7 linked regions of the Mus musculus genome follow. The protein of the gene in region 5 interacts with the protein of the main gene of each other region in a pairwise test. Links are inferred from orthologs where the notes say so. Each region holds a gene or a part of one and is shown on either strand. Other genes may lie near its edges. The genes, in order: Gcc1, Hsp90b1, Wdyhv1, Ppm1k, Birc2, Nmb and Exosc5.

Evidence for each region.
Region 1: the proteins of Birc2 (region 5) and Gcc1 interact in binary tests that used the Homo sapiens proteins (3 or more experiments, as listed by UniProt). The two-hybrid records come from large-scale screens. The link is inferred for Mus musculus from reciprocal best matches to the Homo sapiens genes BIRC2 and GCC1.
Region 2: the proteins of Birc2 (region 5) and Hsp90b1 come close enough for resonance energy transfer, tested with the Homo sapiens proteins (2 studies listed by BioGRID). The link is inferred for Mus musculus from reciprocal best matches to the Homo sapiens genes BIRC2 and HSP90B1.
Region 3: the proteins of Birc2 (region 5) and Wdyhv1 interact in binary tests that used the Homo sapiens proteins (3 or more experiments, as listed by UniProt). The two-hybrid records come from large-scale screens. The link is inferred for Mus musculus from reciprocal best matches to the Homo sapiens genes BIRC2 and NTAQ1.
Region 4: the proteins of Birc2 (region 5) and Ppm1k interact in binary tests that used the Homo sapiens proteins (3 or more experiments, as listed by UniProt). The two-hybrid records come from large-scale screens. The link is inferred for Mus musculus from reciprocal best matches to the Homo sapiens genes BIRC2 and PPM1K.
Region 6: the proteins of Birc2 (region 5) and Nmb interact in binary tests that used the Homo sapiens proteins (3 or more experiments, as listed by UniProt). The two-hybrid records come from large-scale screens. The link is inferred for Mus musculus from reciprocal best matches to the Homo sapiens genes BIRC2 and NMB.
Region 7: the proteins of Birc2 (region 5) and Exosc5 interact in binary tests that used the Homo sapiens proteins (3 or more experiments, as listed by UniProt). The two-hybrid records come from large-scale screens. The link is inferred for Mus musculus from reciprocal best matches to the Homo sapiens genes BIRC2 and EXOSC5.

Annotation. Positions count from the first base shown.
Region 1 is NC_000072.6:28,418,883-28,423,258, forward strand, and holds the start of Gcc1 (GRIP and coiled-coil domain-containing protein 1), read right to left. Parts: upstream 2,843-4,376; 5' UTR 2,435-2,842; coding exon 1,403-2,434; intron 419-1,402; coding exon 1-418. UniProt on the Homo sapiens protein: Probably involved in maintaining Golgi structure.
Region 2 is NC_000076.6:86,702,509-86,706,701, forward strand, and holds the start of Hsp90b1 (endoplasmin precursor), read right to left. Parts: upstream 2,937-4,193; 5' UTR 2,848-2,936; coding exon 2,799-2,847; intron 1,889-2,798; coding exon 1,786-1,888; intron 1,094-1,785; coding exon 952-1,093; intron 518-951; coding exon 401-517; intron 1-400.
Region 3 is NC_000081.6:58,140,061-58,144,228, reverse strand, and holds the start of Wdyhv1 (protein N-terminal glutamine amidohydrolase), read right to left. Parts: upstream 2,864-4,168; 5' UTR 2,737-2,863; coding exon 2,648-2,736; intron 1,022-2,647; exon of another isoform or gene 960-1,021; intron 1-959. UniProt on the Homo sapiens protein: Mediates the side-chain deamidation of N-terminal glutamine residues to glutamate, an important step in N-end rule pathway of protein degradation.
Region 4 is NC_000072.6:57,514,863-57,518,511, reverse strand, and holds part of Ppm1k (protein phosphatase 1K, mitochondrial precursor), read left to right. Parts: intron 1-275; exon of another isoform or gene 276-563; intron 564-2,491; exon of another isoform or gene 2,492-2,753; coding exon 2,754-2,919; intron 2,920-3,393; coding exon 3,394-3,538; intron 3,539-3,649. UniProt on the Homo sapiens protein: Serine/threonine-protein phosphatase component of macronutrients metabolism.
Region 5 is NC_000075.6:7,834,136-7,838,358, forward strand, and holds the start of Birc2 (baculoviral IAP repeat-containing protein 2), read right to left. Parts: upstream 2,923-4,223; 5' UTR 2,855-2,922; exon of another isoform or gene 2,091-2,854; intron 1,910-2,090; exon of another isoform or gene 1,245-1,909; 5' UTR 344-1,244; coding exon 1-343. UniProt on the Homo sapiens protein: Multi-functional protein which regulates not only caspases and apoptosis, but also modulates inflammatory signaling and immunity, mitogenic kinase signaling, and cell proliferation, as well as cell invasion and metastasis.
Region 6 is NC_000073.6:80,902,148-80,906,453, forward strand, and holds Nmb (neuromedin-B isoform 2 preproprotein), read right to left. Parts: upstream 2,916-4,306; 5' UTR 2,831-2,915; coding exon 2,674-2,830; intron 2,160-2,673; coding exon 1,987-2,159; intron 357-1,986; coding exon 321-356; coding exon of another isoform or gene 286-320; 3' UTR 80-285; downstream 1-79. UniProt on the Homo sapiens protein: Stimulates smooth muscle contraction. Induces sighing by acting directly on the pre-Botzinger complex, a cluster of several thousand neurons in the ventrolateral medulla responsible for inspiration during respiratory activity.
Region 7 is NC_000073.6:25,657,609-25,661,987, reverse strand, and holds the start of Exosc5 (exosome complex component RRP46), read right to left. Parts: upstream 2,836-4,379; 5' UTR 2,753-2,835; coding exon 2,605-2,752; intron 1-2,604. Other genes in the region: Bckdha (2-oxoisovalerate dehydrogenase subunit alpha, mitochondrial), read left to right, coding at 3,248-3,355. UniProt on the Homo sapiens protein: Non-catalytic component of the RNA exosome complex which has 3'->5' exoribonuclease activity and participates in a multitude of cellular RNA processing and degradation events.

The sequences.
Region 1 (4,376 bases), on a different chromosome or scaffold from region 5:
CCTGTTGGTAGTAGAGCGCGGTAGCCTTTTCCCCGTCAGCAGCCTCGGAGTTGGCCATTATCTCAGGGTCGCAGAGCTTCTCCACATCCAGGGTCACCTGGCTTTTCCTAGCTGCAACCTGTAGTAGCTTCTTGAGCTTCTCCATCTTGTCCTTCAAGACATTGATATCCAGACTGGATTCGTCGCCATGGATGTCAAGGGAGGACCGGCTAGAGGCTGCGAGGGCCAGTGTCTTGTTCTCCAGGTCCAGCTGCAGAAGTCGCTCCTTCAGCTTCTGGATGGCCAGCTGGTCTTTCTGCTTGGCTTTCTCGTAGGTGCCCAGCAGTTCAGATACCTCAGAGATCTGGCTCTCCAGGGCTGCTACTCTCTGCTCTTCTACCTGAGACTGCTGGCGGAGCTGGTCCTCTGCAAGGGCTGTCTGCAAAGCAAAGAACAGGTGACAAGGCATCCAGGAAAGTCACAAAACCCCTAGAGTCAACTGGGTGTGGGGGAGGAGACAGAGAAGTGAACAGGGCTTGGAATAACCCAGAACAAGTGGGAACTGGGGATTTTTAACTGAAGTGCCCTTTCTACCATAGTTTTCCATTCTTCATTAAGCTTGAATACAAAGTATGTTTCTGTTAGCCAAATCATTTAAAGAAACCGTGTAACATTCTTTCCCTTTCCCAACATGCCTGTAAATTCAAACCCAACCTAGATCCCTCTCTCTACTGAAAGGGAACACTATAAAACAGTTGAGGCAAACCTCACCTGAGCGTATACACAAGGCATTTCTTCTGGGGAAAATCCCCTTTGCTTCCTCCAGTCACCTTACCTAGAAGCACACACTTCTCAGGATACACACAAGCTTTCCCTACACAGCTGTCACTGTATCACCTCAAGCAGCACAGCTGGTAAGATGCCAACACCCAAGGCCTAGATAGAGCTATCTGGCTTGAACCCAGAAATACTCAGGAACTCTTCATCCTGTTAGAAGGACACCACACAAAGCCACACTTCACGGGACTCACTGATGCAATTTTTTCACTTGGCATCAAATATCACTATGCATGTTGGGAATGTGGAACCAGACCAAAGTCCCAGTACTCACACTAACAACTCACGCTATCTCACCAGGCATCCCTTGACTAAAACAAGACCCTGCCTTAAGTGGGGAGAGGGGTGCCCTTAATCCTAGCACTTGGTATGGAAAAGCAGGCAAATCCCTGTGAGTTCAAGGGCAGACTGGGTTACATGGTAAGACCCTGCCTCATGAAAACACACACAGAGAAACAAACACACACACACACACACACACACACACACATAGGGATGCATTACAGTTATCTAATGACCAGAAGAGAAAAATAATAATTTCCTATGTAAGCTAAAATGACTATTTGAAGGATATGAGAATAATTACCTTCCTCATTTCTTGCTGCAATTGGGCCTGGAAATGGCTTTTAAGACGGGCAGCCTCTTGCTGAAGCTCCTGCAGCCGGGGGTCTGGTCGGTTCTTCTCATCTCGAATGGTTTGCAGCTCACCTTTCAGCTCCTCTACCTCTCGGGTCAGCTGCTTGGTCTGCAGTTCAAACCCTTCGACCTGATCAGCGGCATATGCCCGCCCTGCCAAGGCTTCTCTGGTCTCTTCTAAGCGAAGTTCCAGGTCCTGGCGCTGGGTCCTCTCCTCCTGCAAGAGCTTCTGAAGCTCGCGCAGCATCAAGGCATGGTCACTCTGCTCCTGGGCACGATCGTGCTGCTGTGTAATGAGGCGGGCTTTGGTTTCTGCTATCTGCTCTTGCAGCACCTTCAAGTCTCCCTCCAGGCGACCCCGCTCTTCCTCTGCCTTTTTATTGGCATCCTCTAAGTCCTGCTTCATCTTCTTCTTATCCGCCAGGTAAGACGCCTCCATACGGGACTTTTCCTGAGTGACTGTCGCCAAGGAGCTAGTCAAAGTGGCCAACTGAGTCTTCAGCTGATGCACTCTTTTGTCCATCTCACTACCGGCAGATGGCCCATCCCCACTGCTACTACTAACGCCACTCTCTGACCCACTGGCCTCTTCAGACTTTGGGGGAAGTGGTCCACGGGCCGCTCTGTCATCTTCAACCCCAAATTCACCCTTGACACTTGTAAGACTGGCTGCGGTATCCAAGCTAGTGGCAGTTCCGGTGCTGTCCTCACTGTGAGTGGAGCACCGGTCATCCACAGAATCAGGAAACGTGAGACCTGGAGGCTGCACACCTGAGAGGCCTACATCCGCCTCGTGGGATACCGACAGTACCTTGATGCTGGCCTCCAGGGCTTCTTTCTCCTTCAGCAGGCTTTTATAGGCACGCACCACATCCTTGAGTCTTGCCTGGTACTGGAGAAGCTGCTTTTTCTGTGTCTCGATGGTCTCCAAGAGATCCTTCTTACTTGGGCCGCCCCCGAAATTCATCCCAAACTTCTCCATGGGGGTTCTGGCGTGGACCGCTCCACGTCAACGTTCTTGCAGCCCTGGGCAGAGCCACAGGGACAGCTAAAAGTGAAGCAGAGAGAACCGTCTGGCTGCAGGCAATACACCCGGTCCGTCCAGCGGTCCGGGCGGGATGAGGGGCCGCGGTGGCCAGGCAAAAGCACTGCAGGAGCCAGGCCGAAGGTGGGAGCCAGTTCCAACCTGGAGGCGGAGTGACGCTGACCTAGCAGGAGCAGTCAGCCTAGGCTCTCCAGTACAGGCCCTGAGCCTGTCCCGCCCTAGCCGCTCCTGTGGCCACCGCAACCTAGACCCGCCTCCCTCCGCCCACGATAAGCCCAGGGTTTACACTAAGCCGGGTTCCATCACGATTTCCCAACAACTGGAACAGCACCGCTTCCGGGTCTCCTGGAAGTGACGGCAGCAAAACGCCACAGACCCCGCCCCGCCGTGGGCGTGAGATGGGTGGGGCTTCCGCACCGTGTCTGCTGGTGGCCTGGAGAGGGAGTAACCCGTAGGTAAGTCTAGAGCAAGCACCTGAGCAGTGGTTTGGAGATGCCTAACTTTGCCCTCAAGCTACCACCAGTGAGCGACAGGGGGCGACGTCGCACTGCATTTGCCCCAAAAACATAGATGAAAGACGCATCAAACTATTTGGGGCAATGTCCAACATTTGGGGCAACAGTTAGGACTCATACTAGGAAAACGAGGCCGGTACCTGGTTAACGTAAAGCATAATAGCTCCCTCCCTTAGTTCTGATTAGTAAAAGGGGCATTATATAGCCATAAGGCCCATCTTGCATACCAGCATATGCTGGGGTCAGGGCTGTGTCACAAGAGTTACACTTACGGGAACATAGAGTAAAATGTACAGAGGGGTAACATGTCCAATGTCACTCAGCTAGGAAGTTTAGGAGTCCTATCTCAGTCTGCCTCTCAACATACTACATGCTATGCCAGATAGCACTACTGAAGAAGCATGGCCTTGTCCCAAGAAACTCCTAACAGCAAGGACACAGAGATTCAAACAGGTAGCTCCTGCCTTCACACTAGTGTGTCGGGGCATTGCAGAAGTGGTATAAAGGAGATGAGGCACCTGCCAGGACAGAGACTCTTAGGGGAAATGATTTGAAGTTTGAGAGATGAGTAGACTGCCAAGCTCAATGCAGATGTGGGAAACCAGCATGGAGGAAAGTGGAAAGGTGTATAGGGACGTCAGGCATCAGTGAGCCTAACTTGCCCAGGAAGCTTATGGTGTGGGAGAAGGGTGGCTACTGATGAGGCTGGAACAAAGGACCCAACTTAAAGGCATTTAGATTTTACCTTAGGTGACAAGACATGAAAAGATTTTCATCTCAAGAGCACACCATCAAGTCTCCTTTTTCTTTTCCATCAAGACTCTTGTGGGGACTGTAAGACGACTCAGCAGTAAAGGCACTTTCCACCCAGGCCCAATGATCTGACCTGAGTTCTATCACCAGGGCCCACACGGTGGAAAGAGAGAACATATTCCCACAGGTTGTCCTCTGAGAGCTACACCTCCACACATGAACACGAAATAAAAGTGGGGAGGGAGCCAGGCGTGGTGGCGCACGCCTTTAATCCCAGCACTTGGGAGGCAGAGGCAGGTGGATTTCTGAGTTCGAGGCGAGCCGGGTCTACAAAGTGAATTCCAGGACAACCAGGGCTATACAGAGAAACCCTGTCTCGAAAAAAAAAAAAAAAAAAGGGTGGGGAGGAGCTAGAAACAAAATAAGATTCCTGTGACATTATGAAGATACCAAGCCTGTGAGAGGGGTGCGGGGAGGGAAAGAGATGAAATAAGAGTGACAACGGGTTTTAAGAAAATATTTCTGTAATAAAAATCTACTCAAGATGCCAAGGCAGCCGTCACATCTCCGTGAGTTCGAGACTAGGCTGGTCTACATAGCAAGTTCCAGAC
Region 2 (4,193 bases), on a different chromosome or scaffold from region 5:
TTCAGGCTGAGCCTTTAATTGGTGTGCGACCCTTTGCACCATGGCAACCAGAGACACTCCAGATGGCTGCTCAGTCAGCCTGTGGAACGATTTAAGCTGAGGTCTTGGCTACCTTTTCCTAAAGGGCTAGGTAGTATCTATTTTTGGCTTTAGGAGCCATAAGGCCCTATCAGTAATTACTGCCACTCTAGACAAAAGAATTTGTACTATAAAACTAGGTACAGCTGTTCACTAATAACCCTAATGAAAACAAGCAAAGTCAGTTTGACTCAAGGCAGTCTGCACACTTCCATGCTAACCCACTGTGACTAGGAAGTTACTGTTCACACCAGAATGACCTACTGCGGAGTGCCTGGGTTCCCAGGATTCGTTTTAAAAAGGAAAGTTATTTTAAGCTTACCTTAATCTTGACCGTTAACTCCTCATTTCCAGCGAGTGCATTTTCATCAGTTAGGGAGATGAGCCTTATCTTGTCTAAAGCATCAGAAGCATTTGAAATCAGTTCTCTCAGGAAAATCTAAAAAGAAGCCAGATTTAATGAGTTGCGATTGACCCCTAAGCATGGTAAGATGTTGGTTCTTATCCACTCCTCTCAGTTCTCCTCGGAATCGTGAAGACACTCTTCAAGGAACCAAGCCTTTTATGGTGCAAGAGATGGCTTTACTCTCTTCATAAAAAAGGAGGTGTGGCTCTATAACACTATGTGACAACTACAAGGGATATCTGAAGTGGTGGGAACAGGAATACCTCTCCCACCCTCCCTCAGGGGTACAGTTGTGTGACTTCATCCGTCGGTAGGTCATGACCTTATTCTGAGCTGACACGAAAGACCAGGACAATGTCCACTCCCTTCCTGCCCCAATATGGACCAATAAGAATTCTCATTCCGAATTTAATTCCTAATTTCTAATGGAAGGATCCAAACTGCTGTCCCAACCATGTAACACTTACCTCTTTATTTTTATACAAAGAATTGATGATAAGTTTCATCATCCTGTTCACTTCAGCTTGGAAGGCGAACTTTTCAGATTTTTCTCTAAGTTCTCTTATCTGTGATGCGTTTAACCCATCCAACTGAATAGCTTCTTCCTCTCTAAGGAAATCAAATTAGATAAGCAAATACTCAGCTTCATTTTTCTCAGTCTCTAGTCAGGACACAGACTGGCCTCTGCAGACCTTCTTGTTAAAAGAGCACTCACATACCAGCTCACTCTCATCACAGAATGGGCTGTGCTTAATGCTCGGCTGGAAATAGTTCCTAAAATTCCCAGAAAAATACATCTGGCTTCCCTCTACTGAAAAGCAAGTCATGACTTGTGTACGCTTGCACAGTGAACACTTTAGTACCGTCACTAATTCCTAGAAGGCCAAAATTGAAAATATACCTCACCGATTGAAAAGCCCTTTTCTTAAAAGTTAAAGGCATAAAAGTTCTATTTTTCATAGTACTAACTTCACACAGACAAAACCAATCAAGTGTCCTGTCAGGTCTTAGAAAGTTGGAAGCACAAGCTGAGTGGGCTACATCACCACTGGTTTTCTGGTTTTAGATGCTGAGGCTTATCCCTAGCACTTTCCTTCCTGAATCAGCAGTCACTCCCAGGAGCAGACTGCTAGGAGCTTTTGCCTGCAGATAAATGGGCACTCCTAAGATCTTCTCTGGTTATTTTGTATCATTAGCAACATTTTGGGCACTGGACCTTGTAATCTGAATGGAGAAACACCAACAGCCACTCTGCCCCACTAACTTGCAGAGCTTATCAACATAGCTTCAAATGCACCGACCTCTGCACAACTTCATCATCTGTCCTTGAGCCTTCTCGGCTTTTACCCAGGTCCTCTTCCACTGTGCCATCCACGTCGACTTCATCATCAGCTCTGACGAACCCTGGGGAGAAAGGTTACAACTCTCCACACTATTGCTTCCTCTCCTTCGCATAAAAAGCCATATCAACGGGGGCAAGAGTTAACACAATTCAGTAAGTAAATACAAGCTGTTGAGATGGAAGAATTATGTACTGACGTCAATAACCAATGTCAAGGTAAGTTTGCACGCTAAAGTTTAAATATGAATGCTCAAGACCCCCGTTGACTCTGGAAGGCCAGGCAGCCATCACGTGTGTCTATCCTAGGCAGTGAGAGAGGCCCCCGTCTACACCCACACGTGTTGCGCACAGCTGAGAGGAGGTCTCTACACTGGCCAAGCCAAAACTTGGGCCTCACTTAGTTATCACAGGTCAGAATGCAAACAGGGTTTGTGCAACTTCTGTTGAGGGGAACTGAAATCCGGCCCAAAGGGGAAGACATGTCAAGGACAGCTCTTGAAGCACATCGGAATCAGATATTGGGCCACCGCCACGACGCTGGCCCGAGGGCCCACGCTCGCGAGTCGGGCGTTAGAAAACAGAAACGCGCTCCGGGAGTAGAGGGCAGGGGCTGGGGGTCCTCAGGCTCTGGTGGCCAAAGGTCGGACCTGATCACAAAAGTCCTTAGGGAGGGGTTCCAGGAAGGCTTCCCCCGGGAGTAGAGTCCGAGAGACCGCGCCCCGTCAGCGAGACTTCGGGGAGCGCTCTAGCACCATCCGCAGGGTATTTATTTAAATGCCCGGTCTCCAAGTCGCCTTTTCCCAGAGGCCTCAGGGAAAGCATCATCACCCAAGTCTCCTTCGAGGGAACGAGATGGTCCCTGAAACCCCTGTAGGCCACCCGGCGTCCCCAACCCAGGTTCAACGCCCCAAGAACGTTCGAGAAGCGGCCACACAGGAAGGGGAGGGCGCCCACTGCCGCCCGGTCACTCACCGAAGGTCAGCAGGACACAGCAGAGGCCCAACACCCACAGGACCCTCATGGTGCGTGGCCGGCGAGTCGCAAGTCCTTTTCGGTCTCAGGAGCCGCCTCCACCCCCCCAATCCCGAGTCTAAGCTCCTCACACCTCCAGCAGCGCGGTCCGCCCACTAAGCCGCGCGCAGGTCGGGCCGCTTTTCACCCCACTGCTTGCGGGCGGGGGACGGGAAACACGAACTCACCAATCGTGCCTCACCACGCACTCTCTGCACCCAATGGAGACGCATGGGGGGGGACCGCAGCCCGCCAATCGGAACTGTCCAGGTGCGGTGCCCGATGCCCGAAGCGTGGCTCCTTGCGATTGGGCTTGTCCAGCGGCTTTCCTCCAATCAGATGGCTCCGCGGGCCCTCACACACCGGGCCACCCTTTGGCCTGGGAAGCCTTGGTCCCTGAGGAAAACCGTCCAATGAACGTAGGCGCATAGCACGTCTGTCCATTCCTAGAGGTCCCGGGGAACCACTTCCGGCTTCTAGCGAACGTTTAGTCCGTGACTAGGGGAAACGGTAGCCAAGACAATGCGTCCTTTACCCTTTTCTCGTCTACGACGCGGGTCACGTTACGAGTCCTTTCAGCGCTACGTTCGCCGTCACCTTTCTTTTGGGCGTTTCTTTTCGCAAAAGAGAAATTTGTGAGGGGTTGAATATCCGGAATGCGTTTGGATGGTGGTGAGAAACTACAGTTTCCGGCATGCAACGCACTAATCTCATGAATGCTGGGAATTGTAGTCTCTGGCATCTAAGCCAGTTGCGTAGCTTGGCCCTTGCTTACTCCAATCTTGTGTCCGCGGGAAATGTCTCTGAGTGATTATAGGATTTCCACCTCATTCAGATTGCAGAATAGATCTGTGCTTGTTCTAGGACTCTAATGCACACAGTTTTCAGAGGCGGACCTGAAAAGCAGCCCCGCGTAGCCCTAGTCTCACCGTGTCAGAGGGTCAGCCCTGGATTCTGGGCTGGTGGTAGCACCCGGGTTTCCACGTCCGCTTTCTTGCGCGTCACTCAGGGTCCCTAGAGCCTTCAGTTACACTTGGCGTTGCGCTGCTCGCATTTCCTGTCCTCTCTGGTTTGGTTTGCAGTAGAGGGTGGCAGGGGCTCTCCAACCCCGAAGGAAACAAGGACCCAAGTTCCTTTGACATCCCCATAAATATCAAAGAATGACTGGGCAATCTAGAGCCTCTTTTGTGAATCAGCCAGAGAGCGCGGTGGTGAAGTCCAGGCTAGCATAGAACAGGAAAGAACTTATGCAGATACTTGAAAGCAAAAGCCGCAGAGCTTGCAAAACAGCCTGGATTGTGGCTTTGTAACTTCATAGAAACACCTTTCCGCCTTCCGAAAGATAGCAAAAGAGGC
Region 3 (4,168 bases), on a different chromosome or scaffold from region 5:
CCTTGGTAGGACAGAATGACATGATTCCTGCCCCTAGGACAGGGCTAGCAGGTGTGGGCATAATGCTTGCTTGTATAATTATGGACATTTTTTCACACTCCTCAGAGGAATGCCCTCCTCCCAGTTAACATCAATGACTCCATGAGAATCTGAGACAGCATGAGTCCAGAAAACGAAGGTGTGGCTAATGTCTCAGCAAAATGGTAAATACTGTGACCCTCAGGACAGCCCTTAAGGCTGTGGGAAAGAGCTCTAAATACATGAGTTTGAAAATATATAATTTCTCAACTATGCAAAAACATAAGGATGCAATATGAATTGTATAAGGAGTTTCACAGATCTAAATAGACAAGAGGCAGCTACTCTATATGACACAGATTTCTGAGTTCAAGCCTGGAACAGATCAAATTTAGGTCCAGGAGTGGTCAGAATGGTAATCTCCGGACAAGGTCCCAACTAGCTAAATTTACAAAAGCAGCCAGATCTCTGAATTCTTTTACAATGCTAAAAAAAGGGGGAGAAAATCTGCTTGTAGTCTCCTAAGAATTAAGGGCCTGGGGTCACAGGATTCATAGGATAATCAAAGGGGAACCTGGAGGTTGAGAACAGCTCTTCAAGAATTTTCTTTTTTCTTTCTTTCTTCCCGCCCTCCCCCACACCCTCCCAGGGTTTCTCTCAGTAGCCCTGGCTGTCCTGGAACTCTGTAGACCAGGCTGGCCTTGAACTCAGAAATCCGCCTGCCTCTGCCTCCCAAGTGCAGGGATCAAAGGCGTGCGCCACCAAGCCCGGCTAAGAATTTTTTTCTAACAGGATTTGGAACATGGTGGGACAATGTAAGGAGGGCGACCACAGCTCTTTCAGATCTTTTCTTAGCTCTTTTAGAATTTTCTCTAATAAGATTTACTGACACAGCTCTGTTAGCATGTCTCCTAGCAGCTAAACAGAAAAAGCTGGCAGAAGAGTGAACACAGCTCTTTTAGAATTTTTTTTCTGGCTTTCTGATTTTGATCAGAAAACCCAAGAATTACTTTTTGAGTATTTCTAACAGGATTTCTGACTTGGTCAGCAAACCCATGAGCTATCCAAAGAGCTTTTAGAACTTTTAATAGCAGAGAGAGCTGTCTTGAGCAGAAAGCTAGCTGTTTCAACCAAAAAGTTTTCAGAATAGCAAGAAAAAGCTGTCTCAAGCAGACACAGAGAGAGCAGTCTAGAAAGCCACATCAGCGGAACATAGACCACCAGCATGGACCAACAATTTGACTTCAAGTAGTTTTCACTGCTCCCAAACACCCCTTCTTTCAGAAACCCGGTCCCAGCTGAGGCCAGTCCTTGGCACTGCCAGGAAATTTATCTACCTTGTTTACTGCTCTATCCTCTGTGCATAGAATCAACCAACATACATTTCACATCCCTACGAAATATTTACTAAATAAATGGAAGACACAGAGTAAATGTTCCAGATAAAAACTAGCAGGATTTGGAAACCAGGCGGAGCAGATCTATAATGCAACAGCTAAAAAAGAAGGACTCCCAACCACCATGTAGACTCCAGATCTCATTCCACTTAGTTGTGTGGTCTGGGACAAACCACAACCATTCTATAGTTCAGCCTTTGTAGTGTCAATAATTACCACAGAACCTGTCTCCAAGACATCGCTCTACCACCCCCTGTTCTCAATCTGTGGGTCATGGCGTTGAATATCAGATATTTACACTACGATTCTTAACAGTAGCAAAATTAGTTGTGAAATAGCAACGAAGTTTTTACAGCTGTGGGTCACCACAACAAGAAGATCTGTATTAAAGGGTCACAGCCCTGGAAGATTGAGAACCAGGGCAAGCACTTGGACTTGAGCTAAAGTGGTCACTGGTCAGTCACAGCTGAATGCTAAGTTCTTAGAGTCCTTGTTTGAGTGACCAGCTAGAGTTGAGAGGAGTCTATTTAAATGATCCTGAGGTTTCTCCTGAGTTGGGATAGCAGTCCCTACACAAAAGGAAGATGAGGCCTAGGGACAAAAAAGGCAAGGTGAACGGTGTTTGCACAAGCAGCCTAGGACACTAACCTCACAATCCCGGGGCCTTGTGTAAAACAGCAGCACACCCTTCAGTACCTCAGAGTTCTTCCAAGCTGCAATCACACCAGTACCTACCTCTTGGGATTACTGTGAGGTTCAACTGAGTTAATTTACACCATGCACGCAAAACAATGCCTAGCATATGGCAAGGATGGTGCAAATGCAACCATTATCATATGGCCAGTAAGGTAATGCCAGTAAGGTAATCAGGGTAGCCAGTTGCCTGAACTGGATTTCCTACTACCACAAATTCTGTGTCTCCATTGTCTTTAAAATTATAAAGACGTATACTTCAACCTGAATCAATGCAGACTTCAACAGTTACCATTGGGTCTCCAGCCTAACTCCCCTCCCTCCCTTGTCCCTATGCACTAAGACGCCCCGACTTCACCCCACTGCTCAGGCTCAGCTAAGGAGACCAGAAATGCGTTCCCCACCCTCCTCATCCCGGCGCTAAACCCGGGCAGTGTAGGCCAGCAGCAGCACTCAGGGGAGCATCCAGGAGAGGGGCGCATTGGTGGCGGCGCGCGAAACCGCGCAGATTCCCGGGGTCCGCGCCCGCGCTCTCTCACCAATAGCAGCTGTTGTAGACACATGCGTCCCGCGTAGGACAGACCGGCTGGTACTGCGGGGCCGTGGCGGCGGGGCCGTCCCCCTCCATGACCCGAAGCTGTGGCTCACAGGTCAACTAAACAACCCGCTGGCCGCAATTGTCGCCAGTCTCCCAGGAGGAGAGGACAACAGAGTAGGCGGCCAGGACAGTTTCCGGGTGGGAGAGCCGAGAGCCGGGTGGGCGGGGCCCCGTGCAGCGTGAGGGCGGAGCCCGGGATGACGAAGCCTGCGTGGTTCCGGGTGGGCGGGGCCTGAGAGAATGAGTGGGATCTGAGGGGGGTGGGGGTGGGGCGAGGCTGGTGGAGAGGGGGCTGGGAATGCGAATCTTAGGATGACTTGAACTGTGTAGTTCTTGCCAGGTTTTGCGTGGTGGGTGGAGCCTGTGGCAGAGCGGGATGCACTTAGAGGCTTCCCTCTCGCCCCGCCCCCCCCACCACCCGGACCCCAAACCGAACCTGTTCTTGAGCTACGCTGCGTAGACCTAGTCGCCCTCCCATGGAGGGATTGCTTGTGTTGTTGCCAGTGTTTAGATATGAGCTTCCGGATACACTTAAAACTCCAGCTAAGGTTGCCCGCTGTGTGAAACCAGAAGAAACTCTAAACTAAGAGATGCTTGGGCACGCACGAAAGCTGAACCTTTAGAGCAGGAACTGAGAAAGAAAGGCGAACGGGGGGGGGGGGGGGGGGTGTTAGTGCAGTGCACCCAGATCTCACCATATTGTAATTTAATTTCTTCTCATCTGGATCTCTCTCCCTCTCCGTGTGTGTGTGTGTATTTTAAAGAAAAAAAGTTTTAACCAGGTGTGGTGACAGACACCTAAAGTCCTTGCATGCAGGAGACTGAAGCAGGAGGATTGCTTCTAATGCAAGGTGATCCTAGACTACAAAAGAATTTTTCTTTTAAAAAAAAAAAGATTTAAAGAGTCTGGATAGCATTTTGTGTTAATCATATTTATTTTCAAAAGAGAAGACACCAAATTGCTAAAACAGTGTTTATGCATAGTGAATTAAAGACATAGAGAACTGTCTCTATAGACATCCCAGTCTCCTGTGTGTGCCTTAAGTGCTCAGAGAACCTCCCTGCAAACGCTGGACTTCTTAAGATTAGATTATAGGCCACCCACAGACTCTCAGCCTTCTGAGACCCCAACCCCATAAAGTGCTGTGCTGGTGGTATTCTGGTGAACTTCAGCTGCTGTCCAAAACCCATAAATCCTACAAACTAAACATGTGTTTGTGTCTGTTACCAATTTATTGTTTCAGCTTGAATACTCCCTTCAACAGAGGCTGGGAGGCAGGGAGTGGCAGTCATGAAGCCTCTCTTGGTTAGTACAAAGTGAGTGTGAAGTTAAGCTTTCTCAGTAGAAGGATGGAAAGAGATTGCAAGGGAAAGAGGATCCCTGCAGTTTCTAGAAGGGACCAGAGCTAGTTGTGTGATCATCCTGCCCTCCAGTGGAGTCAGCTCTGGACAGACACCAGAA
Region 4 (3,649 bases), on a different chromosome or scaffold from region 5:
ATAGCTGTGTGTGTGTGTGTGTGTGTGTGTGTGTGCGCGCGTGCGCGCGCGCGCACACACACATACACAAACATGTGCAGATGCCCGTCAGTGTCACTACTGGTCTTTTTGTACAGATGCATATGTACATACATTTTTTTTCTGTTTTGGAATGATCAATAACTATTAACTTTAAGCTACTGAGTTTTGAACTCATTGATCTGGAAGCTCCTGGGATATTCTGTGACTTGCTAGTGAAATTTTCACCAATAGAAACCCTTCCCCTTATTTTGCAGCTCTTTCTCTGCTTCCCCCTGTGTTGCAGGTTTGTTGTGTCTGAGCACAATTTCTGGGTGAAATTCCTGTTTGCCTCTGTGCGGGTTGTTTGTGGCAGAGAACTGTGCCTGCTCAGCTGCTCTAGACCTGGAGCCTGTGGACGCTCTATGCCGGGCTTCAGTGGAAAAGAGATCTGCTTAATTTTGTCTCAGGTGAAGGAGTCCAGCAGTTCCTAGTCTGAACTACTGGAAGGGTCCCGCATCCTCTTTGTGCCATTAGTTGAGATGACTTGCAGAAGAAATTATCCAGTGAGTGTCAAAGCTCAGTGACAGAAATCTTAGTTCTATAGTTTTGTTGTTAGGGAGGCAGGAAGTGAGAGTTTTTACCTCTATGTTAAATGAAAATAAGTGTGGACTCACTGTGTACTCAGTCTTCCCCATCGCAAGCCAGAGTCGGTGCTTAGTTTTAACATTTTCCCCATATATCCTCAGATTTTGAAACTGTGTAGGTGAGTTGAGAGAGAGCTGGGAACTACAACCCAAACTGAAATTGCATTTATAAAGTGTTAGTTCTTCTGTCATCCTCAATTAAAGACCACTGTTGCTGATAGCTACCATGAAGACTAGCGGATCCTCTGGACTGGTAGCATCTAATGACTGCCTGTGTTCTCTTTCTTGCCTTTTAAAATAATTTGAAAATAAAATAGCTGATTGACCTGTTAAGATTGCATTGTGGTATAGTCTTTTAACTAATCTTAAGTTGAAAGCTATAACACTTGTAATAAAAAGCATCTCAATGTTTTAGTTAAAACACTTATGTCACACACTAACGTATCTTAGTGTTGCTGTGATAACCTTGCTTTGACCTAACGGTTCCAAAATCAAGAGATAAATGGGAACATAGTCCAACTGTAGATGCTGTGTTTCAGTAGAGCAAACGTAACATGACTACAAAAGATTGAGTATACTTTATCCATGCTTTTCCTTTTTAGTTTTTCTGATTAAAGCAGGCATTTTAATATAATTACCAAAAAAAGTATTCATCTCTTTCTAAGATGCATTATTGGTAGATTTTCTTTAAAGTTGTCTTTTTAAAAAAATGTTGGAAAGACTTGACTGTCAATGAAATCAATTAAAGTTTTCTAAAATCACCTATTAGAGTGAAAGTCATCTTTGCACGATCAGGAGACTTTCTACAAATATTACATAGAGCCACAGTCAAGTGAGTGGCTAAGGAATTTTTTAATACAAAATTTAAAAATTAGTCAAATTTAAAAATTGACAATGTTTTAAAGAGTTAACGATGTTATTAGAGATAATTCCTGCTTTGTGTAAGTTATTTCTCAATTTCTTACTTTGCTATATTGTTCTTTGGTTCATAGTTTCACAGTATTCCCACTTTCTGCAAGACTCAATGCACCTTAAATATTTTTAGTAAGTGGTGAATGATAGAGAACAGATGATGTTAGACTAAATCAAAAGAAGACACACAAATGCATTTGCTTGGTTAGAAGAAGAAAGAGTAGCCACCTCAAGGCTAGCAACACTGGGCTTTACTTGATGGCAGAGAAAATGCACATGGCTCACAGGTTCTAGTCCGGGCAAGGCGCATAAGTTGCAGCTGGTTCTGCTCATCTGCTGTTGGCTGCAGATTCTCTGATTGGATATTTTGGGGGCTAATAGTGTTAACTATACCATGTTTATAAGGAACTGAAATGAATTTCACTGTCTACTACTCACTCAGATCTATTCATCTAAGGGTGGCTATAACTTTTCTTCAGGTGTAGAGCAAAGAAATCGAAAAAGGGTATGCGACTCTAATTGGTGCAAGCTTGCACGAGTGTGTGTGTGTGTGTGTGTGTGTGTGTGTGTGTGTGTGTGTGAGAGAGAGAGAGAGAGAGACAGACAGACAGACAGACAGACAGACGGACACAGAGTTGACATGGTTCTAGAGGGAAGAATGTACACAGTAGTACTTGAAGAACAGATGGGCTGTACTTTGCCTTTCTCTCTTCACCTATTAAGTGGTAGTACTTTGACTGGATGGGAGTAAGGAATACAAGAGAAGAACCCAAATCTGATTATAGCAAAGGCGTCTCACCTAATGGGCCCAGCAGATCTGTTGTGCTGTCATAACAGCCAGACTAGCGACATTTTCATGTTTTATTTTGATGCCCATTAGGCATACTAAGACGTCATAATTCTTAGTTTTTATCAGCTCTGTTTTTTACACACAGACTACTTGGAGACACTGATGCTTTGCACACCAAATTAGTTTACCAGCCATTTTGTTTGCATGGAGCCTTGTTACAGAGTTAAGTAATCGCTTCTCTGCATGGCATTACTTACATAGTTTGCATTTCATTTGCATAGCTCTGGTTGAATTAGAATGGTTCCTCCCAGCCTTAAGTTATCATGCTTCTGTTTTATTTTGTAATGAAAACTCCATATCTGAATATTCCTATTGCTAACAGATGCTCTGTTTTATAATATTTGTAGCAAGCCTCCTGACCTCTGGGACTACTGCAACAGTAGCCCTGTTGAGAGATGGTGTTGAACTGGTGGTAGCCAGTGTTGGAGACAGCCGGGCTCTTTTGTGTAGAAAAGGAAAACCCATGAAGCTGACCACTGACCATACCCCAGAAAGAAAAGATGAGAAAGAAAGGTACTGTCATCACACCTTGTTATGGGGTGATAGCTATAGATGCCATAGAAACAGTGTTCTATTTTCTTCTCTGGTGTAAAACACCCGGGCCTCTTGAAAGCAGGCGCACAGCCACTACTGCAGTGCAGATTTTCTTGTTTTGGTTGTTTCGGGTTTGTTGAGCCTGGATCTCATGCAGCTCAGCCTGGCTTTACATCTGTACCCTGCTTCCTTGGCCTCTCACACGCTGGGATTATCAGGTTGTGTACACCATACATGGCTTAAATTTTTCATTTATATCTTATTGTGGAATTAACATGGGCTGGCCTTATACTGGAAACCCTTCTCGGCCTTCCCAAGTTCCTAGATTATGGGTATGTTTTGAAACACTAGGCTCTAAATTTCCATTTGTACAATTGGTATTTAAACCAGTGCCATAGTTTCTTGCACACTATATTGTTATTGTTATTACTATTAATACTTTTTCTTAACTAGGATCAAGAAATTCGGTGGGTTTGTAGCTTGGAATAGTTTGGGACAGCCCCATGTAAATGGCAGACTTGCAATGACAAGGAGTATCGGAGATTTGGATCTTAAAGCCAGTGGGGTAATTGCAGAACCTGAGACAACAAGGATTAAGGTAAGACAGGATCAGAAGCATTGAGTCATGCGCAGAGAAATTCTAAGGACTTGTCTCACACCGCTGGCTGTTTAAAGATTACCTGAAGGAAAGATGTTTTTAAAGGGATAT
Region 5 (4,223 bases):
TCTGTACAAAGCTGCAGCTGGGATAGAACTGTCTGTGCTTTTCAACAGGACTGTCCCCTTGTTTCCAGTTATCCAACATCAGGCCACAGCAGAAGCACTTGACTTTGTCATTCACACCTGTATAATAAAAGCCAGCACGAGCCAGACTCCTCTCTGAGACAGGAACTCCCCTGGGAAAAGCTGAATATGTAGACATTCGGTAGAGTTCACACGAAAAGTCAAACTTCATTTTTTCTTCGCTCTCCTTTGTCCAATTTGACAAGATTGTGCTCTTCTCCATTATACGTTTAAGTTTTTGGTGTAAGGTACCTTGGCCGAGTCTCTGGGAGACAGTTTTGTCCATGAGTAGTAATAGTATTTCTGACCGCTTAAACTTCCAGATGAAGTTTCTCACCACTTGACACTAGATCTCCACCACAGACACCTGACTGGATAGATTCATTGTCTTCTGCTTGGACTGGTGAATTGACACCCTCACAGGACAAATCTGTCTCACTTGCCAAGACACTAGTTAGGACTCTTTGGGGGTCACATGAACTCTTCTGGGTAACCTGAGATCTATTTACCCATAACTAACTTCTTATTACTAGTTATGAAGCCTAGGTACTAGGGCATATATTCAGGCTCTTTTCCCTTATAAGGACTTAAACATGACATCTGAACTACTCCTTTTCCTATGAAATGAAAGGAACTGAGTGAAGTCTGCAGCTGGTTTTCCTTAGAGAAGATGTCATACAGTATTCTCTAAAGTGGGTTACATCAACTGCAGCAGTCAGCTCAGGTCTATTAAGACTACAGTATTCACTGTAAAGGAACTGCGCTTAAAGCACAGACTGTTAACTCCCTCACTGTTAAATCTTCTATATCACCACCTTGACTCTGTATATATCATGTGAATACATCTGGTCAACAGACAGTATTTTGCACATAAACCTAAGACTGCATTTTATAAAGTCCGCCTGTGTTTAAGGCCCTTTCCACTATAAGTCTGTTATAATTAAGAACGAATCAATTCAAGACATGGCTTTCTTTTGTTACCTCAAATAACTAAGAATCTGTTTTAGCAAAGCTTTTCTGTTGCACTAGCCTTCTTTTTGAAAACTTCGTATTTTATATAACTAATCATACACAAGAACACACTGCAAAGCAAACCGCAGCGTCTTATAGAAATGTTCAGATGTCCATGAGTGGGCTGATTTCTAGAAAAACATAAGAGAACATGAAGACTCTTGAGGACTATCAATCTGAAAGAAAAAAAAATATTTTAGAAAACTAATTACACAGAATTGTCATCATCAATTTATTCAGTAATGTCTAAAAATGACACACTCTAGATAACAAATCTTGACTACAGCAGTTCCTCACCCAACCAGTCTACTTAGAAAGGGTCTAAATCAAAACACACCACTGCAAAAGCATTCTCAAAGTACTAGTTATGCTTGTCTTTAAAATGCATAGCTCAGTATAGTTTAAAAATTAAAACTTTGAAAACAATGGACATTTCCATTTGTCAAAAACTGGCCCCCGATTTTCAAGTTTGTTCCTTTTATATATTATTTATTTACTATTAGAAAAAAATGTACTATACTTCATGAACTTTTTTTTTTTTTAAGGGACAGGGTCTTATTCTGTAGACTAGGCTGGCTAGAAAGTCAATATAACCCAAGCTGGTTTTAAAACTTTTTGGAATTCTCTTGCTTCAGCCTTCCAAGTGCTAGGACCACACTACCACCAGGCTCTTTTCGTTTTCTGATTTAAAGATATTTTGATATGCACTTCACTGGAGACAAAAGGCACCATAAATAGTGGAAAGGTAGTCTGTAAGGCTACTGATATAGCTCCATGTTAGAGCACTTGCCTTGCAGGTAAAGAACCCTAAGTTTAATCACAAGAAAAAAATTATATATACTTTTATATTCTATTAAAACATTTAATTGAAATATATAATACAGATATAAGTACATATAAAATATATTTATACACATAAACATATGTTAAGTTATAATACAATATAAAATAAATAATATATACGATATTTTCTATTATATTAAAATATAAATATTTCCTGAGGATTCCCGAGGTATACTTGCAATTTTAATCTCAACACTTGGAAGACAGATGCGGAATGAAACGCTCCTGCCGGACAGAACATTTGAACTAGCCAGGGCTAAATTAGCCAAGATAAAGGCACCGGGAAGAGCTCATAAACGGAATCCGTGAAGGACAACCATTCCCTAACCACCACAGGTAACATCTCAAAACCAAAAAAGTACAAGTGCCGGTAAAGCAGTGGCCTGAACAAAGCTACCACTACCCGTGTGGCCTAACTACACTAGCTGTTACAACGCCAGCAAGCACCCAACCGACACGGCTCTACGCCCACTGCAGGGGGGCGACACGTAGCTTGGAGAGACAAGAATGGAGAACACCTTTCCCAGTTAAACCAAACCTCTCACACGACTACTGGGGACAAGTAGTAACTGATGTGACAACCGTCATCCCCCTGCCGCACAACTTAGTTTAAAGGCATTAAATGCCGCGGGCTTAAAGCTTAAAAACCTGCAGAAAATCTGAAGAGACAGCCGAGGTGCTGCACACCAGTAATCCCAGCACCTAGAACGATTGGAGGCAGGAGGATTGCCGCAAATTCGAGACTAGCCTGGGTTGACTGAAAAAATAAACCGAAAGGAAAAGAAAGCAAAACTGTTATACAAGTCCAAGCCCAAGGACTTAGGCAGGGAGCGGGGGTCGGGCGGCCCTGAGAACTGCCTTCCGGGCCGAAGGAGGAGTCAGCTAGCCCGCCCAGCCGTCGAGAGCCACGCTCGCCCGTCCTGACGAAGGCAGCCGCACTCACCACCGAGTCAGGCCCCCGGCGCCCTGGAAGCAGAGGCGCCTGATTGTTGATCCGCAGCCTTCCCAAAAGCCCCTGCGGCCAGCGGGCCGTTGAGGTGACGTCAGCAGACGCGCACCGCAAGTTGGAACGCGTGGAGGACGGGGTGGGGCTGTGGGCCAGTCGCGCGCGCCTGCGCCTGCGCTCGCGCCTGCGTGCTCGGGCTTTGGAAGCTAAACGTTCGGGCCGCTGGGACTCGGACGAATAAGGCTAGGCTTTCCCGAGCGTCCGTCCTTGCCCCACTGCCTCCGCTGGGCGTTCCGGACTTTGATGCCATGTGTTTTAACCTGCAGTGCACCTTTAATGGCGGCAGCCCTGAGCCGCGCCTCCTAGCTCCCTGTATTTTCCGGCCTCACCCTGCAAGGGTCCTAGACAGGCACTAAGGCAAACGTGGCGTCATAGGTAAGGCGGCTCAGGCTCGTGAGCTGGCCTCGAAACGCCTGAGTAAAGCGGAATGCACGCGTGTGCGTGTACATTAAATATAATTTGGTTTTTTTGTAAGATGGGCTTTAACATTTTTGACAAGTGGGCTCCTCTGGCAGGCCGGCATGGTGGCGCTCACCTCGAATCCTAGAAATTCAAACCCAGTTGGGGCGAGGAGGTAGTTATGCATTTTTAAATTATTATTTTTTTTAAAAAGTGCTCTTGCAGGCGACCCAAATTAAGCGCATCAGGCCATAAATTTAAAAAGTAAGGAAAAGGCTGCGGACTAGTTTGGAGGAAGGCATTGAAGGGTTAACAGTATAATGGGAGAGAGTATGATTAAAGCGCACTATATATCTGTGATGAGATTGTAGAAGAATACGTTTAAAACTGGAAAAATAACCCTGACTTCATTGTTCACTAGCAGTCTGTCTCCCCACCCCCCACCCTCTGCTGCCTTTCCCGTACCGAAAGTGCTGCAAAATCATTAGCATTCAGGGTAGGACTTTCTGATGTCCCCACCCCCACCCCCGCGGCCCTGTTTGGCTTGGATGATTTGTTATGGTTAGTTTTGCAGTTTTTTTATTTGTTTGTTTAAGAAAGGATTTTATTGTAGGGCCCAGACTAGCCGAGGATTTAGCATCCTACCTCAGCCTCCAGTGTGCTGATTAGAAATGTAGGCTACTACCAGTGAGGTTTCTACAGTTTAATTTACTTTAGACTTGAAGGTCTTAACGAATGAATCAGATCTTCTCTCCGGGGGAATTCCATGTTAAATGGGCAAATATTTTAAAAACTTAGAAGTAAAACAGACCGCTAAATTAGGCTGCCAGGGGAATTCCGGGACCCTGAACCGTTTCCCATTTTCTTTCCCGTCATTTCTGCTGCAAGTCGGTCAGTCACAGAACAG
Region 6 (4,306 bases), on a different chromosome or scaffold from region 5:
ACCCTAGCTCTCTGAACATGCCACCCTCCAGAACCCTTCCCTCTTTCCTCAAATGTGGGTGGAAGGAGAGGCCCAGACATTCTGTGTAAAGAGCAGTATTTTTATTCACCACTTCACCAGGGAAGCAAGAAATACAGCAGGAAAGACTTTGTGTCTGCATCATTAACATTCCTGGTGACCCAACCAGAAATCACAGTAACAGATTAACACATTTGAGCTTAGGATTTACATCCAGAGGAGGCCACTGCTAGGGTTCCATTGTCAGCTTCCCTGGATGGACACATTCTAAGCCCAGCATCCGGTTTGTTCCATTATTGGCATCACTTCTGCAGTAGTGGCTCCAGCAGCCTCCTGTACTGAAGGCAAGAAGGGAAGACTTGACTCTGGAGTCCACAAATCAGGGAAATGCTGAGTGTACCCAGGAGGGCAGCTGCAGGCTCTCAGCTGAGCCTCTCAGTGAGAACCTTTCTCCCTGGAAGACCTGAGGAGTCAGGGGGATTGGTTTTCCCAGAATATAGCCCCAACTTCACAGGGTAGTCATGACAACTAAAGGACATCACAGAAACCAAGCCCAAGGCATTGGAGAAGTGTCAGCAACATGCCCTACCCCCCATGCTCTGCTGCAGACCTCACTCCCTGCCACTGGCCATGGCAGTATTGCTTTCTATGAGATTCTCTGGTTGGTCGTGGTATTTCAGGTCTTCCAAATAATGTCCCTAGAGGTGATGCGCTCTCTCTCTCTCTCTCTCTCTCTCTCTCTCTCTCTCTCTCTCTCTCTCTCTCTCTCTCTTTCTCTCTGGACTCAGCTAGCCCAAGCTTCTCGCTTTTGCATCAGGGGTTCCAGGGATGTTTGCTGGGACTGGAGGTAGACCTGCTTCTAAGGAATGTCTCTTCTCTGAGCATGTTCACACTGTGCTAAGCATAGTAGGGGTAGGAAGGGCGTCATAGCAAAGTCCTGCCAGAGGCTTGCAGACATGTGGTAGGAACTCCTGCTTCCAAGAGCTTTCTGGTTGCCCAGAACTGGACTGCACGTGATACAAATGATCTCATCTACTGGGAGGTGGGCCTGTTGTTTCTATTTGATGAAGACACATTTCTAAGGTTCCCCTAGCTAGTTAGCTAGGTGTGGCCCCAGCATGCATCCTACCCATCCCACTGCCTTCTGCACACAGCAATGAGTACCAGGGGACACCAGCAGGAGCCAAGAACGGAGGAGCTGCCACACCACCTGGCAGCACCACAAGGCCTTGAGCACCACAGGTCAATGCTTTACAACCAGCAGTGAGTCAAGCCCACTTCCACCAGGGGGACACCGACACTCATGTCCGAAGGCTTTGGTTTTTGTTTTTCCCAAACTCCTGATCTCAAACCATCCTCCTGCCTCAACCTATGAGGCATTTGGGACTGCAGGCAAGTGCATTGTTCTTGGTCTGCAGGGAATCTTGGTTATCACAACTTGGTGAGAAGGGAATGTGCTACTGGCCTCTGGCGGGTAGAGACCAGGGATGTGCTAAGCATCTCAAATGCAAAGGACAGCCCTGCAGAGCCTTTACTGTCAGGAACACTGGCATTGGGAAGTGGATGGGAGACTGGAAAGCAGGCTGGTTCTGAGGTGTCACCACTGGTCACTTCCCTTCCACCTCAAGGCCGTAGGGATCACAGCTTGGGACACAAGCACAGCCTGGCATGGCAAAGGTGGGCTTGGCTAATGACAGCTGGGGTGGACAAGGCTGTGTGGCCTGGAGAACACTCTATTTAAGAGCTAGAATACTCCTAGTCTGCGACGTCAGACTGGGGATGGGCAAGGAGGAACTTTTTCCCCCATGTAGTCTGGCTGCTGCGTCATTTTCCAGTCTTTGGGATATTCCCCCTTTGAGCCCTGGGACCTTGGCTTTCTGGAATCCATTACCGTCTGGCTAGGCAGTCCCACCCTGAAGACATGCTGGGCAGCAATTCTTCCATGCTGGTACTGGGGAGGGGGCTTACCTGGATTGGGGGAGCTGGGCCACTGAAGTTCATGCCTAGAGCTTTCTTTCGCAGGAGGATCCTGAGCAGATCATGACTCAGCTGTAGTCTCTGGTCCCTCGGGGTGTTAGGGGGTGCTGTCCCCACCAGTGACAGGCTCGGGGGTTCCAGGCTCTTCTTGCCCATGAAGTGACCTAAGAAAGGAGGTGCCAAGGTACATGGGAGCTCAAGATGAGGACCCCATCACCACAGCAAGCTCTGGTCTAGTCGACCTTTCGGCTCTCACAGAGGGAAGACAAGAAACATTATCCTCAGAAGCCACAGATCTCTGGGTGGAGGCAAAGCTGACATCCTGAGCTTTTCCTGACCCGCTGGAGGATAGAAGACGGGTAGATAGCCCAGGACCAGGGAGACTACCTGCCAGGGAAGGAAGTGGAGAAGGTGCCTCTAAATGGATGCAGAGAAGACATGAGGTGAGAAGACTTGTCAGTCTGCCTAACCGACTGGTAACCGGATCTAATCTCTGTCTTAAACTTTCTGAGTGGGTTATCTTAGCCATGTCTAGGGTCTCAAGATTCCCATCTGTTAAACTTGATGAGCCCCCCGCGACTGCAGGAGCTCCGCTACCAAGAGCCTCCAAAGTGTTGAAAAGGAAACTGAGGACCAAGGAGAATGAGGCATGCTTATAGGGGGTCCCCTAACACTTACCGGTCGCCCAGAGGTTGCCCCGAGGGTGCACTCGAATCTTGCTTGCTCGGCTGCGGGGCTCCGGGAGATCCCAGTTGAAGGGAGCGACGCCGGAAGCGAACAATGCGAAGAGCAGGAGACCACGGAGGAGCCAAGAGCTCCCTGCTTGCCGGGTCATGGCTGTGCCAAACAGGCTCTTCTCTGGCACTCTCAGGATACTAGTTCTCGAAGCCCGCCTTCCAGCCTTTTAAACTACAGTCGGGAGCGGAGCCTGCCTGAGGAGCGGAGCTCGCTCCGCCCCAGAGCCCCGCCCCGCAGGCTCCGCCCACACAGCCTTGCATCCCGGTTTCTCCTAGAAACCCACCACACTCGCGTGCTTATGGCATCGTCCCCAGCAAAGGTGGTTCCCAAGGCCACCAACACAGCTTTCTGTGTTTCCATCAAGTTGTTACTTCAGCCCTCAAAGCTTCTCCTTAAAGCTAAAGCAGAACAAGAAGCCCTGCTTTTGGCAGTCTATGTGTTTGGCATCATCCCGCAGAGGAACTCAAGAATCCTGTCACCTCCTGTCTCAAACCATCTGAGCCTTGTTTGCCCTGCTTTGTGCTCACAAATGGCACACACTGGATAACCTGGACAAGTTCTGTGCCCAGAACGGGGACAGAATTATGGGGAAGGGAGTGAGGAGCTGCCTCCTAGTAGTGGTACCCTTTAAAGGGCCTGGCTTATCATACTGTAGGTCAGATCAGTGGAAAGATTGCTGGGCCAGATGACTTCTCTAGTGTAAAACGGAAATAACCATACTACTTGTGGAGAAGCAGAACTCTGCCTTCCAGAGCTGTTCTTATTGGTCTTGGAAAGTATCTTCAGTCATCAGTGGCATCCCTGAATGATCAGGGGCAGATATGTGCTCCGACCCAGCATTGTGGGAGGGGCAGGAGGGGACACCAATTTCCTGTTCACAAGAGTTCACTTACTCATTAGAAACTAAGTCAAGGAGTGACTGATGGAATAGAGTATTAGGTCTTGGACCCTTTACTGCATCATTTGTGCTGCCTAGCATAATCTTTTTATTTTGTTTGGGACATGAGCTATGTAGCTCTCTGTCCTGGAACTCCTACATAGAACAGATTGAGTTGAACTTATAGCAAGCCTCCTGTCTCAGGTTCCTAAGTACCAGATTATAGATGTGAGCCACTCTACTTGGTTTGCTGTCTTTACTGGGTCAGTTCTTACCTTCTGCTTTGTTTGAGACAGGGTGTCCTTCTTTCTGCTGTCTGTCATATAGTCCAGTTTAGCAGGCCCACAGATTCTGGGTTATTCTCCCATCCATCTCTCTCATCTCACCACAGGAACACTGATTGCATGTATGTGTCAGTACATACAGTTTGTCATGTGGGTTCTACCAATCTGAACTTAGCTCAGCCTTGTGGCTGCAAGTGCTTTTATCCACTTCGTCATCTCCCCAGCCTACACCTTACTTTTTGAGGCGGGGTCTCTTGCTGAAACTGGAGCTCATTGACTCAAACCTGGCTGGGCAGCAAGCCTAGGGACCCTCCTCTCTCCACCTGCCTAGCGCTGGGATTTTAGGTGCTGGCCCACACCCCTGGCTTTGCGTTTGGTGCTGGGAATCTGAACTCAGTACTCATACTTGCAC
Region 7 (4,379 bases), on a different chromosome or scaffold from region 5:
AGGTTTTCATCGATGTACTTTCTGAAATCAGGTTCTATATGGTCAAAGCTGGCCCTGACCATGCTATCTATGTAGCTAAGGGAGCAGGGCACGAACTGTTGTTCCTCTGGCCTCTACCAGCCCTCCCTCCCCCCGTACTGGGATTAGGGGTTTTGTACCATCAGGTGTTTTTGGTTTGTTTGTTTGTTTTTGCCTTTAAGGTAAGCTACTGTGCCGGCTAGTTGCTTCTTTTGCTTTGCATTTTGTCAACTTAGCCATACCTGGAAAGAGGAAACTCAAATGAGGAATTGCCTCCATCAGACTGGCCTGCAGGCAGGTCTGTGGGGGCATTTTCTTTTTCTTGAGACAGGGTCTTGCTGCATGATCCTGTAGGGCATTTTAGTGATCAACAACTGATATAGAAGGGCCCCCACTCACTGTGGGCAGCGCCACCACTGGGCAGGTGGTCCTAGGTTATCTATGAAAGCAGGCTGAACAAGCCATGAAAAGCCAGGTTCTGCCACGTTGATTCTGGTTATGTCCTTGTCACAGCAAGAGACTCCTAGTGAGGACAAATGTCAAGTAATAGGGATATTGTGTCATTATCATACATACACATCATTTGCACTGCTTGCCTGCCGCAGCCACAGCCCCCTCCATCGGGTGTTCTTACAGGAGCCTTTGAGGTCAGAAGTGTCTGCAACATTCTTTTTGAAAGTCTGCCAAGTCTCCAGCTTGCACTAGGGCCCTGTGAGTTTAGGGTTTTAGAACATGGGAAGGTTCCCTCTCTATTTCTTATATCCCAAGAGATAGGGGAGGCTGATTTCAGCAATGAGCTAAGCTGAGAGCCAGCCTGGGATGAGAACACTAAACATCTGTGGGTGCTTCTCCAATGAAACCAGAGGTAACCCAATAGACTCAGGTGCTTACTAGAGCTACATTCCTGTACTGCTAGATAGACTGTGCTCTCAGCGAGCAAGGGAGTCTCTTTCTTCCCACCATCTCGATGATGTGGCTGCAGAAATTCTCTTCTTTTCCCCCTAGTATTTATTTTACTTTTTAAGTTATGTGTGTGTGTGTGTGTGTGTGTGTGTGTGTGTGTGTGTATAGTTCCCTGCAGAGGCCATAACAGGGCTTCCAATATCCTGGCTCCCCACAAGTTACAAGTGCTTGAAAGCTGCCTGAATGGGTGCTGGGAACTCAACTTTGTTCTCTGTAAGAGAAACCATTTCTCCAGCCCCGAGCTGTCTCCCCTTTTTTTTTTTCCCCAAGACAGGGTTTCCTGGCTGTCCTGGAACTCCCTCTATAGACCAGGCTGGCCTCAAACTCATAGAGACCCTGCATCTGTGTCTCAAGTGCTGGGACTAACGGTGTGTGCCACCACTGACCTGCCAGTTTTCTCCTTTCTTAAGCTCTATCAGTCGTCAGCTCTTGCCCCATCTATCTGATTCCTTCGCAGGAAAATGCCTGGAGACTTGTCTCAACTGTTTTTTTTCTCGCTCTTTCTGACCCACCACTATAAGCAATGACCTCTAGCTTATTAGCCATAAGGTGATCAGCCTTTAACATCTCAAACAAACTCACCATTGTCAACTCTGTCTCTGCCCTCTCATCTGTCTACTCTGGTAGTTTCTCACCCTCTCATGACCTCTCAAAGTTGGCTGGCCCGACTGGGATATAGGGTTGTGTGGGTCTCAGCCACAAGACTTCTCTTTTCTCCCTATTCATTTAGTCTGATGAAATGTGTATACCAAGGAAAGGCACGTTTTCTTAAATGATGGGACCGGGGAAGGGGAGATGCTTCTCAGCCCAGGATGGGAAGATCACATTTAATTTGAAGAGCACTTACTTAGATGTATCATCTGCCACAGTAATTATATTTAAACCAGTGGTGGTGATGTGTCTGTCTCAAAGGGTATTTATGCAAATAAACACCTTAGCCTCAACCGGTGATGTATGGATCTAGAAGTGTTTTTTAAGAAATCTAGTCAAAGCCAGGCGTGGTGGCGCACGCCTTTAATCCCAGCACTCGGGAGGCAGAAGCAGGCGGATTTCTGAGTTCAAGGCCAGCCTGGTCTACAAAGTGAGTTCAACAACAAAGTGAAAACAACAACAACAACAACAACAACAAAAACCCAAGAAATCTAGTCAAGGGGAGCTGGAGAGATGGCTCAGTGGTTATGAGCACTGACTGCTCTTCCAAAGGTCCTGAGTTGAATTCCCAGCAACCACATGGTGGCTCACAGCCATCTGTAACGGGATCTGATGCCCTCTTCTGGTGTGTCTGAAGACAGCTACAGTGCTCTTATATAAATAAAATAAGTCTTGAAAGAAAGATAAAAGAAAGAAAGAAATCTAGAGAAGGGTAATATCTGCCTTGGTGAAATACCTATTCTGGGATAGTCACTCTTATGAGAGTGGTCTTGCTCTCGATCTCCTCTGAGAGGGATTTACCAGGCTGGCCAACTCATTTCTTCTCGAGACGGGAGGTGGGTATACTCAACATCTAGAAATAAGTTCAAGGAGGCGGGCGTACTTGGTTACATACTACACAGTAACCGCTCTTCAAAAACCCTTCTTCGGTGAGGATGGCGCGCGCTGAGTTAAACTTGGTGAGGCTCGTACCTTGAAGAAAAGAAGCAGATCCATCCGGCCGGGACAGCAGGTTTTGCTCACAAGCAAAGTGCCGGAGACTGCAGACTGGACTTCGGGGGCTGGACTCTGTTCCGGTGTCAGTGAGTAAATTGGCGTCTGCACGCTTTGCGCCCTCCATAGCCGCTGACCACGCGCGCTGCGGCTCCCACCGTAGCTTCCGCTTAGCGGCGCGCGCAGTTCTACCGGCCGCGTACCTATTGCGCATGCGCCCGTCTAGGGCACGCCCGAGTTGGCCCTAGCACGTGGCTCAGCGTTTACTAACAATCTGGTCCCGCCCACCTCCACCTCCCAATTCTGGCATAGCCATTGGACAACAGGGAACAGGGGGAGGGACTTGGAGAGGGCCCATTTTGCTCAGGGCTCCGGGTCCTGAACCCTGAAGGTTCAAGTTAAGTTGTCCTTTTAGTTGCCTGAATTAGGAGCAACTAGAAGCAGACGACCGGAGCAATTTTAGAGACTAAAAATTGCCACCTTACTCATTTATGCGTCTTTGTCGCAAGGTGGTTAGAAGCAGATAGCGTGTTGGCCTAGCGGTGCTGCTATTTGAATAAGGCATCTGGTGGGACAGCCGTATGTCTATCCTGTGAGAAAGGAGGAGTGGTTATTAGCCAAGATGGCGATAGTGATGTCTGCGGCCAAGATCTGGAGGCCGAGCCGTGGCCTGCGCCAGGCTGCTCTTCTCCTGTTGGGACGATCTGGGGTTCGGGGCTTGGCTAGATCTGTGAGTATCTGAGCCCCACGGGGTCTTTCTTAGGGAGAAATAGAGACGTAAAAGTTATTCTTACATTGTGTGAGACACCGCGGGCTGTGAAGGAAAGAAAGAAAAGGTCCGAGAAACTTCTTGAAGAGAAATTCAAGGGAAGAATCCCTTTAGAGGAAAAGCAAGGCAGCTACTTGTGGGCCTCGATAGAAGGAGACGAGACGGGGGTTGAAAGGACAGATCAGGTTTTCATAGGGTCCTACATTGCTTAAATTCCAACTGTAAAGGGAGTTGAGCAAGAAACTGGTTTGATTCCTATGCCACCTGATCAAAAGGCAAGGCAAGGGACTTTGCCATGACTGTCCTTTACACAAGATGATTATGAAGGGAGACAAAGAGAGCTACAAGTTCAAACAGGACCCTTTGCCCACGTTATTTTTTTGAGACAGGATCTCACCCACGAGTCCGGAATGGCCTTTAGCTCACCCAGATGCTTAGACAGGCATCGAACTGGAGATAGTCCTGTCCCAGCCTCCCAAGTACTGGCATTACAGATGTAAGCTACGGTGCTTGGCTGCCCACTTTTCTTGAAAACACTGGAGAAAACTCGGAATTCCCTTTTGATCCATTGTTGATAAGGGCAGGATAACACTTCCAAAATCTGTTGCGGTCTGGCAATGTACCACCACAGTGTAGAATGCTTGCCTAGCACGCGCCACGTCCAGAGTTTGGCTCCTAGCCCTGTGTGTTTGTTTATCTGGATATGGCGACACATGTCTGTAATTTCAGCGCTTGGGAAGTAGGAGAGGAGGCATTTGAGGCCAGGTTGAGTTACGTGAGACCCTATCTCAAAAAAAAAAAAAAAAGATTTTTAAAAATGGTTTACTTATTTTTATTTCACGTGCATTGTTGTTTGGTCTGCATGAAGATGTTGGATTCTGTAGAACTTGAGTTGCGTACATACAGACAGTTTTGGACTGCCATATGGGTCCTGGGAATTGAACCCAATTCCTCTGGAAGAGCAGCCAGTGCTCTTAGTCACTGA